Caenorhabditis elegans: one gene and its partner. The protein of the gene in region 1 interacts with the protein of each later gene in a pairwise test. Each region holds a gene or a part of one and is shown on either strand. Other genes may lie near its edges. The genes, in order: W05B10.4 and let-60.

Region 1 (4,253 bases):
GAAAGGCTTCCTAATATCGTCATTTGGTAGCCTTTTTTTCCAAAATAGAATAATGTGAACATGATCACTTCCGCACCTTTTCATATAAAATTGCACAACTTTTAAAATTGAAGACCCCATTTGAAATAAGTTTCCAATAATACTAGCAAAATTGGAACTTTCATGGTAGGCAAAATCGTCTTCAGTGAGTGCCTGCCTCATGCCTACCGACGCTTATTTCCTGCACGGTTATTAGGACAGTAGGCACATATATGAGATATGAGACAGGGAGTCGGTTTTAGTTTTTAAGTTGATGGGGTCAGCTTGTTTTTTTTATTTATTCGAAAGTTTTATTCTAATTGTAAATTGAATAGTTTTCATATTCAAAGTGTATAGATTTTAATCCATTTATGAATCATTAAAAAAATTGTTGCATATTTTTGCAAGTTTTTCATTCTAAAATCATGCTTCAACATTTTGCATCGTTCTTCATTGCGTAACCCAGACGAAGCCCCAAAAAACTCCTTTTTTCTTCTGGGATTATTCACTGTCACCTTCTTAAAAACGGCGCCTTCGATTATTTCCAGCTTATCCGATTTCACTTCTCATAAGTACTTCTACCTTCAGTTTCTTCATTTTTTTTGTTTTTTGAATCCCTTCAGACTTTTCCCTAGTGTTTTTTCATATTGATTCTGTACATCAACTCGTCTCTAATCGAATCAGGCGGATAGATCAAGGAATGTGGGCATGAGGGAGAATAGTATGCCAAAAATTAATTGAAACTCTCAATGTTCCGCCCACTTTTTGTTTAATGGAAGAAGTATCGCCAAAGTTAAAATCGAAAAAAAGTGTTTCAAGGTGAATAATGTCGTGGAAGCAACATTTGGGTTTTCGAAACGCTAGTTTGTACAACTATTGGTTAGAAAATCCAGAAACTTCAATTTCACTTTAAACGACAATATTTAATTTTTCTTCAGAGCTAGATCCATTGAAAGGACAGACAGCTGCAATATTAACGACGATAATAAATAAACAATAAAAATTGAGTTGCCCACGACAATTGTAGAAAATCGAAAAAATTAGGCTCTTGAAAATACGTCTGACTGTTTTCTTCCCATACCAAAACTTTTGAAATTATTTTTTGACAAAAAACCAGATTTTAGACAAATTCAGACAATGTTTTTTGTTTTTTTAAGTAAATTTCTTTGTTGGATTCAATGCAAAAATTTCAATACAATTTTCAATGCAAAAACTCAAAAAAGTTTTCACTGTTAGACTTTTAAAGGCAACCTTAAAAGTGACAAACTCAAGAAAAATCAATGTTATGCTCGGCCCAAATTATGTTTTTTTGGGTTTTTTGTTGGTTTTTTCTTGCACTTCTCGTAATTTTCTACTACAGGTACTTTACAAAAAAGTTTAGGACTAAAAATCCCACACTTTACAGGCCACATTCAGAAAAATGAATCTTTAGTCCATGTTCCATCTGATAGTATTTCCGACAACTTTCTCGAGACCTATCATCTTTTTTGTATTTCAAATGATCCTCCAAGATTCAATTGCTAACTTCCGGTCCATTACAGTTGTACAACTTTTTGATAAACATTTCATCTTTTTTGGCAACTAATTTGATGATAGTATTGTACTTGTATTTTACTCGTCTTACGTGTCTGATAACACCAATCAAATCTAAATAGCAATCTCCGACCGTAGGAACCAGTTGATTGACTCTTGCCTCGGAACTATCATTTTTCTTTCTTCTTCCGCTACCATTATATGTAATGATATCCTTATATTATCCATAATATATTCCTCATTTCCTCATTAGTGATCCAATTGAATGCGAACGCAAGTCGGTGAATAAAGAAAGAACAAATAAAACAAATATATTAATGATTTTCTCTTTATCCACATTCCCGGACACCGCGTGCCAAATCACTGATAATATCTCCATTTTCCTCTCTCCAGGCTACGGCTTGATCAAATACTTTTCTTCGTTTGAAAACGGTCATTCACACTCACTCACACACCCATATCGTTTACCCGTTTTGTGTATTGCCAACTACCGCACCCATATCTTCATACTTTTCCTCTTTTTCGCTTTTCCTGTTCGTATGTACATACCTTTGTACTATTTTCTTATACAAGGCTAACATTATTGAATTATACGGTTTTTTTTGTTTCAGAAAAAATGCTCAAGTACCAAGTGAAATCGTCCACTTTGACGTTGCGGCCTGCCAATCGGGCATCGAGAACGTCTTCGTCAAGTGAGTTTTTTTTGATTAAACTCGAGACCTACTTGAAGTGTTGCACTTATATTTCGTAAAATATGTTCATAATTTCTATTTGATATGAATGAATAATATTTGACTGCGTTTCCAGACGCTTGAACCCTTTTTAAGTGATTAAACTTTTCAGTAATGTAAAATCCTATAGGATCTTAAATGAGAGATTGAATTACCTACAATGACTAATTAATTCCCATGATAATAGATTTTTGGGTATTAAATACTTTTACGTAACACTAAGAAGATTTACAAAACTTTATTAACTTCTACTAGAATCATTTCCAATAGTTTACACAAGAAATTTAAATTTAACATTTTTTCTCGGATGTTTTACGTTTCTACAGTACTCAATGAAATCGATGAGATCAAGTTTACTTTTTCGAACGAAACTCAAACAATTGAGCTTTCAAAATTTGATCTTCCGAAGATCGCTTGCAAACATCAAACCTATTAAATAAAGTTTTAGGTTTGAACTAGATTTTAGTTGATTCTTTTTCAAAAAAATTTTGTTTTCAATTTTAGATTCATCCTCTCCTTGCTCAATTTCTATGCATTCTCTTCTTGATGATACTCTTCTCGGGATTCCAACAACTTCTCGAAGCAATTCACTTCTTTCCCTTAACTCAACTGATAGTAATATTTCGGATTCTTCAGATGTGGTGAGTAAAAAAACATCAGGCACCATTCAAATATATCATTCAATAATTTTGACTATTTTCAGGGAGTCCTAAAAGTTGATACGCGGAGTGTTAAACAATGTACCGATTACAAGACAATCCGAGTTACTAATTCAACAACAGCACGCCAAGTCGTTGAAAAATTTCTGACAACTCTCAAGCTCACTTGCCGAGATATAAACATGTTCGAACTTTGGATGGAGCTCACAACAAGAGCTTCGGGAGCTCCTGTTGTCACACTTCTAAAACTGGATCCTGAATCTCGACCATATGAACTTCAAAGATGCCATCCAATCGGAATGTCTCGTTTCATACTTCTTCAAAGTCCAACAGGATATCTCGTCAGAGTTCATGATCATAATATTTCTCCTCAATCTAACTACAAGTCATTGCTCCTTTCATCTCAAACAACAGTTCTTGAAGCTATTCATATTGTTCTCGGCTTAAATCGAAAATATGATGATATCTCAAAGTATGGACTATTCTTAGCAACACCTGGAGGAGATGCTCAAATTCCAGAAGATGTTTCATTAGTTTCTATTGCAAGACTTTGTCAACCGAATCAAAAAATCATTATCAGAAATGTTGATGTATTCTAATTTTTGCATGTACTCTGAACATTGGTACATATGTATTATATTTAATGCTTTAAATTCGTGGTATCTTATAAACATTTTTTAAATAACTCTTTGTCTCTTAATGAAAATCGTCGTTCAAAAAAAAGTTCCCTTCGAATTTTATAATCTACTAAAAAAAGGTAAAGGTTATTTGAACGCGATAGTGGTATACATTTCTCAAAAAGTGGCGAAAAATCAGTATTTTTTGTTTTAAATCTCTCATCAACTCAAATAAAATTTTATTAAACCGAGCAATGAAATATCAAAAGATATTATTGTTTTCTCATCCTGGCATTCTGGCATTTCGGAAAACATGCTCAAGAAAACATACATTGTCTTTAATCTAGTAGATCAGCAGTAGGTGCCTCGTATAACCAATTTATTTATTCTTAGAAAACTTGGATTCTTGAACCTTAAACTAATTTTATTGGCGTTACACCAAAAACTAATAAGTGATATGCTGTAGCTACAAACCCCAAGTAAAACATACATATTATTTCTGATTTTTGTTTTGTAAGATTAAGTTCCTTTTCGTTGTGATGAATTCATTCCAATATTTGATAGACTGTTATAGAATCAGATGTCTGGAAATATATGTAATTAAATTTCCAATTTCCTGTTGGTCGTATGATTTGATTTTTAACAACAAATTTACCTAGACGTTAGAAAAAGTTCAGATATTTATTTTTCTACGA
Region 2 (5,366 bases), on another chromosome or scaffold:
AAAATGACTAAAAAATTCAAAAATAATTCGGCTTTTTTTTATTTTTTGCAAAATAATACAAATTTTAGAAATGTTTTTAACTCGACATATCGAAACTTTTTCTGTAATTTTGAGTTTAAAAAGCCAGAGACGCTACATCACTCACGACACCATCTGACACAAACCTTCTCAAAATCTCCGGCACTGAATTCTCTGTTACCACCGAATCCTCTTCCACCACCACCACGTCCACCTCTATCATTTCTTCTAAATCCACCATCTCCTCCTCTTCCACGACCTCCTCCACCTCGATTTCCACTTCCAAATCGTTCATTTTTGGCTAGAAAAGTTCTGAAATTGTTTCTCTCCTCCTGTGGCTTCTTCTCAGCATCAGCAGCAGCATATCCGTATCCTTCAAATGAGTTTTTCGCTGGAGGATTCTCATCAGACTCTACATTTTTCCTTTTTCTCGTCATTCTAATAAATTAAATTTAGTTTTTTTTAAAATCATGCTCCGATGGCGAGGTCAAAATATAACACTGAAATTAACAAAATATAGTTGAATAGATTTAAAAAAATAATATTAGCTTTTTAAAATTTATATCATTGCAATACTTCCTTGAAAATAAAATAATAATAAAAACTTGATCAAAAGAATAGGAATATTATATTCAGATAGGACTATAAAATGTAGAGGAATAGAGAAAAATGAATGCAATACGAGGGAGCAAAAACTTTCAGATGTTCAGAAAATGTATGAGAAATGGGGTCTAATTGTATCTATATTATAGTTAATGAAAGAGAAATAATTACTTGACAAAAATGAGAGGAAACAGAGAAAAAATAAACGGAACGACCGGCAGATGCAAAAGAATTTAATTTTCAGAGAACTTCTGAAAATAGATGAGGCCAATAATTTGTATGAAAACGAGGAAGGGGAATAAAGCATCAAAAAAGCAATACAAACATTCTGAAAATATGCAGAGAAAGTGAAAAAAAAATGGTGCGATGTTTTTTTTGGTAGAGTTGGCCAATTTTGGAACGAGGAGGGGGTTCGGATGCATGTTTTAGATATGGATCACACACTACAGCTAGTTTTGACACCTATGAATGAATGGAGATTTGGGCTAAGCGAAAGATGAGGAATTAGAATGAAGGATGAAGAAAAAAAAGGAGAAAAAATAATGACGAGCAGACGAGAGAACAAGTTCAATCGATGCATAGAGAAAAAAAGGTGGAAATTCGAAGAGTATGTAGAGGCGGAAGAGGATCGATCACAAGTTTCAGATAAAACAGATAAATGAATAATGAAAATGTACCAAAAAAGTACGAGAAAGGATAATTGGGTGGGAGTTGACACGACTGAAAATGAGTTGGCGAAATTGGGCAATTCCCGACGCTGAATCACATTATTTGACACTTCTTCTTCTTTTGTGGCTTATTATTGTCGTGACGCTCACGATGCTGAAATAAAAAGAAAACATTATTAAATCTTTCGGATATCAATCTAGGGTGTCATCAAAATTTTTTTTAGAAAATTAACAATAAAACTCAATTTTTTATCAGATTTTGTGCATGCTGGTGAGAAAAAAAACAAAAGAAAACATATAATTTTCTTTAAAAATTAAGAAAATGACCAAAACTTTGAGCTTTTGTTTCGAAATATCGGAAAAACTTACATTTTTCGTTTTTAGTGAAAAATGGAAACTTGAAACTGTTGATAACAATAATAACATTTTAGAGCTTTACAAAACAGAAAATTTTTAAAAACAACGTTTTTGTATTACTCAAATGCAACATTTGGCGATTTTCAAATTAAAGATGCGGTGCCCGGTCTCGACACGATGAATTTGTGTTAAATGCAAACGTATGTGCGCCTTTAAAGAATACAGTAACTTTAATATTTCGTTTCTGGGGTAATTTTCACCGATTTATTAAAACTGCTGTGTTTTTAAATATTTTTATAATATCGAAAACTTAAAAAAATTGATGAAAATTCCGCTGTAACGACAGTATAAAGTTACCATAATATTTGAAGGAGCAAATCGAACAGACCGGGTGTCGTATTTTTGGCGCGAAAATATCAAAATCTCGCGTCTTTCAATTTTCATATAATAATGACTGAATTTGTACCTTAATTGTACATTAAAAACATTATTTTTAATTTAAATTTTTAACTAAAAAATTACCTTGCGAATTTCTCTAACAAGTGTGTAAAATGCTTCATCAACTCCCATACGCGTTTTGGCAGATGTGTCGACATTCGGAATACCGTAACCCTTTGCTGTCTCACTGACTGTTCGGAAGTCGACTGATCGAGATGACAAATCACATTTATTCCCTACCAAGACCATAGGAACCTAGAAGAAATACAAATATTCAACCATTGACTGATAATTTCAACAAAAAAAACTCACATCATCTGAATCCTTTACCCTCCGAATCTGCTCGCGGTAGTTAGCGACATTCTCGAAAGATTTAGCCTCGTTGACGGCGAAAACCAACAGAAATCCTTCGCCTGTCCTCATGTACTGATCACGCATCGCCGAATATTCTTCTTGTCCGGCGGTATCCAATATGTCGAGGAGGCATGTCTCACCGTCTATCACAACCTGAAATTAGAATATTTAAAAACTAGCTCTCGGAGCAATTTTTAAAACTGAAAAACTATTTTTACTGGTTAAAAACTCAAATGAAAACACTGAAAATTAGGGCTCAATAATATTCTGAATTTCAGAGTTTAAAGATGAATATACGTTTAAAAAAATTTATACTCCTCACACGACACGAGCAGGCATGCTGGTTTATCGATTTGCTTTAAAAAAACAAAAAATCTAAAAAAAAGTTTTGGGCCCTTTCTCAAAAAAAAAGTGAAATTTCTGTTTTTTGTATAAAACGTAAAACGGAATGTAATTATTGAAATTCGTCTGAGAAATATCGATTTTGGAGTGTTTTCAGAATTTTTCCGGTTTTTGCAAAAACTAAAATTTTCGGTTTTCCAATTTTTTTTTGTGAGAATTTTCGGGGGACAATGAAAAATCATGATTCGAGCCATTTTTTTCAGTTCCAGCCATTTTATAATGTCGTGTCCAAAACACGAAAAATTGGTTTTTTTTCGAAAATTTCGGAATTTTTCGTGTTTCAGCACGATTTATTCGTCTTTGGAATCAATTAAACAGCTCGATGTGTTTCAAAAAACTTCCAAACTTCTGACTCATCGTTTTTTTGTTCAATTTCAAATGCCATCATTTTCGTTCAATTTGCTCCCACCACATGTGTGTAGCGGATGTTCCCAATGATTTCTCACCTGCTTTCTGTAGCTGTCCTCTATGGTCGGGTCGTATTCTTCGACAAAGTGATTCTGGATGAGTTGAATGGTGAGTGCTGATTTACCAACTCCTCCATCTCCAACTACCACAAGCTTGTACTCCGTCATTACCCTTTTCTGAAAAAAGACGCATAGTTGAATATGGAAAAATGTAAAATAGAGATGGAAATGAGAAAACGAAGTGGAGAAGGATTTCTGTGGGAGCACTGCCAAAGAGCAGCTCTGCCTATCGGCATACTCAGAATTCCGTTTCTTTTTTTTTTCAAAAAAAAGTTTCGATAAAGGAGAGTAACTACCAGGAAAGAAATAAAAAACCGATGATGACTACTTGAGAATAATTGAGAAGATAGAAAAAGAATGAACTTTCCTGTTAATAAACTAGGTGGTGAGTCGGAATGAGTAACTATTTGAAGACGACGGAGAATGAGTCATTACAATTTGAAAAAAAGAAGAATTCAAATAGTTTGAGTAATTTTGAACTTTAAAAAATGGGGTAATGCAATTATTAAAAAAAAAACCAGGAGAAAAAAGGTCTTCACTTCATCAAAAATTGATTTCAAAGCGATGAAGAAAAAGGGGGACAATATAATGTTAAAATCGGTGAGACGGCGGACAGTGGTGCGACCCGACCACTTATTGTCGCTGACAAATGGCTCGAATCGTCGTTTTTTTTCGTCGGTTTCTTTTCGGTCGCCCTCAGTGTCGAGTGGGTCTCTTTCATTTTTCTTTTTCACTTTTCCAATACAAAATTCTCCGATCTCTCGTTAAAAGATTGCAGAGATTGAGACGTAGAGAAGTAAAGTTTTCCTGACAAGCATTTTTCACAAGGAAACAAATAAATTTACGAAATTCAGTTAGAAAGTTTTTAAAAAAACGTTCAATTTTACTTTGTTAAATATAAATTGTTTAAAGAAGTAGCATGTTTAAGAAACAATGATTCCCGTAGGAACTATAAGCAAAAACTGACAAAAAAGAATAATGAACTTACGAAATCACTCATCTCAACTATTTCAGAAGTTGAGAGATGAGAGATAGGAAGGAAAAAGAAGACGTTAGGATTAGTAAGACCGGAAAAGAAGACTGCCCCTTCTCTCACTCTGCATTTTTTTTTCTTCCACACTACTTTAATCCTATCACACAATTTGGGATGCGTTGCTCCATCTTTTCTATCTTCTCATTTGGTTGAACCAAGGAGCGGGTGCGTGCCTAATAAAATGGATTAAGCTAAAGACGAATAGAGAGATGAACTCGGGAGGAGAAAATAAATAGGCAGAAAACGCTTCAAGTGCAAGATTCTGAAGAATTCTTCTTCCTTCTGATGATGGAGACGAGAAATGAAGTTCATAGGAAAAGAAATCCGAGGCTCTGGAGTGCACAGAAGCACAGAAACCACACACTCTCTCTTTCTTTCTTTTTTATCTCTTTCTCTCGCACCCCCCATACACACACACAAAGTAAGAGTAAAAGATAAAGGAGTGCGGTCCCCACCATGCCGCTGCTACTGCTGCTACTGCTACGGCGGGACAATTAGAGAGCACTAGAAACGGTGATGCATAGACACGAACGACCGCGACGCGACAGCCGCTACGCTTTTGACGGTTTTGCGACGACTGTTGGGAGAAGAGACAAGAAGTGAGCGTGTGTGAGACGAAACAAGTGTGATTTGTAAAAGAGAAAAAGAGTGAGAGAAAAGAACTGTCCACTTTCTTTTTGTATCGACCCATCCCTATCTGTTTCTGACGATAACGACGACGACGAAGGATGGTGATAACGATGAATTGAATTATTTAATGGAACGCATGCAATTTTCGTTTCTAGCAAAGGCGGTGGTCTCTTTTTGAAAAAAAAAAACTATTTCCGCCGACGTTAAGTGCTTGAGATTCTTTCTGTCCAATTGAAATCCTCTAAAAAATAGTTCAAGAATTTGAGGAATTCGATTCAAATTGTCTAAGTGCTTTTCTTTGAATGTCCAGTAGATTTATATTTGAATTTTCTTTGTTAATCTACTTTGGGAATTTCTAAAAATGTTTGCTCCCAAATAATCTAGAATAACTTAGGA

What was found.
Region 2: the proteins of W05B10.4 (region 1) and let-60 interact in a two-hybrid assay, tested with the Caenorhabditis elegans proteins (3 studies listed by BioGRID).

Annotation. Positions count from the first base shown.
Region 1 is NC_003283.11:12,666,064-12,670,316, forward strand, and holds W05B10.4 (Ras-associating domain-containing protein), read left to right. Parts: upstream 1-2,162; 5' UTR 2,163-2,167; coding exon 2,168-2,243; intron 2,244-2,786; coding exon 2,787-2,923; intron 2,924-2,985; coding exon 2,986-3,540; 3' UTR 3,541-3,626; downstream 3,627-4,253.
Region 2 is NC_003282.8:11,687,663-11,693,028, forward strand, and holds let-60 (Ras protein let-60), read right to left. Parts: upstream 3,427-5,366; 5' UTR 3,416-3,426; coding exon 3,287-3,415; intron 2,592-3,286; coding exon 2,397-2,591; intron 2,340-2,396; coding exon 2,169-2,339; intron 1,444-2,168; coding exon 1,384-1,443; 3' UTR 565-1,383; downstream 1-564. Other genes in the region: ZK792.5 (Nucleolar protein 9), read right to left, coding at 165-455. UniProt on the Caenorhabditis elegans protein: GTP-binding protein with GTPase activity. The level of let-60 controls the switch between vulval and hypodermal cell fates during C.elegans vulval induction. May stimulate the guanine nucleotide exchange factor (GEF) activity of rap-1.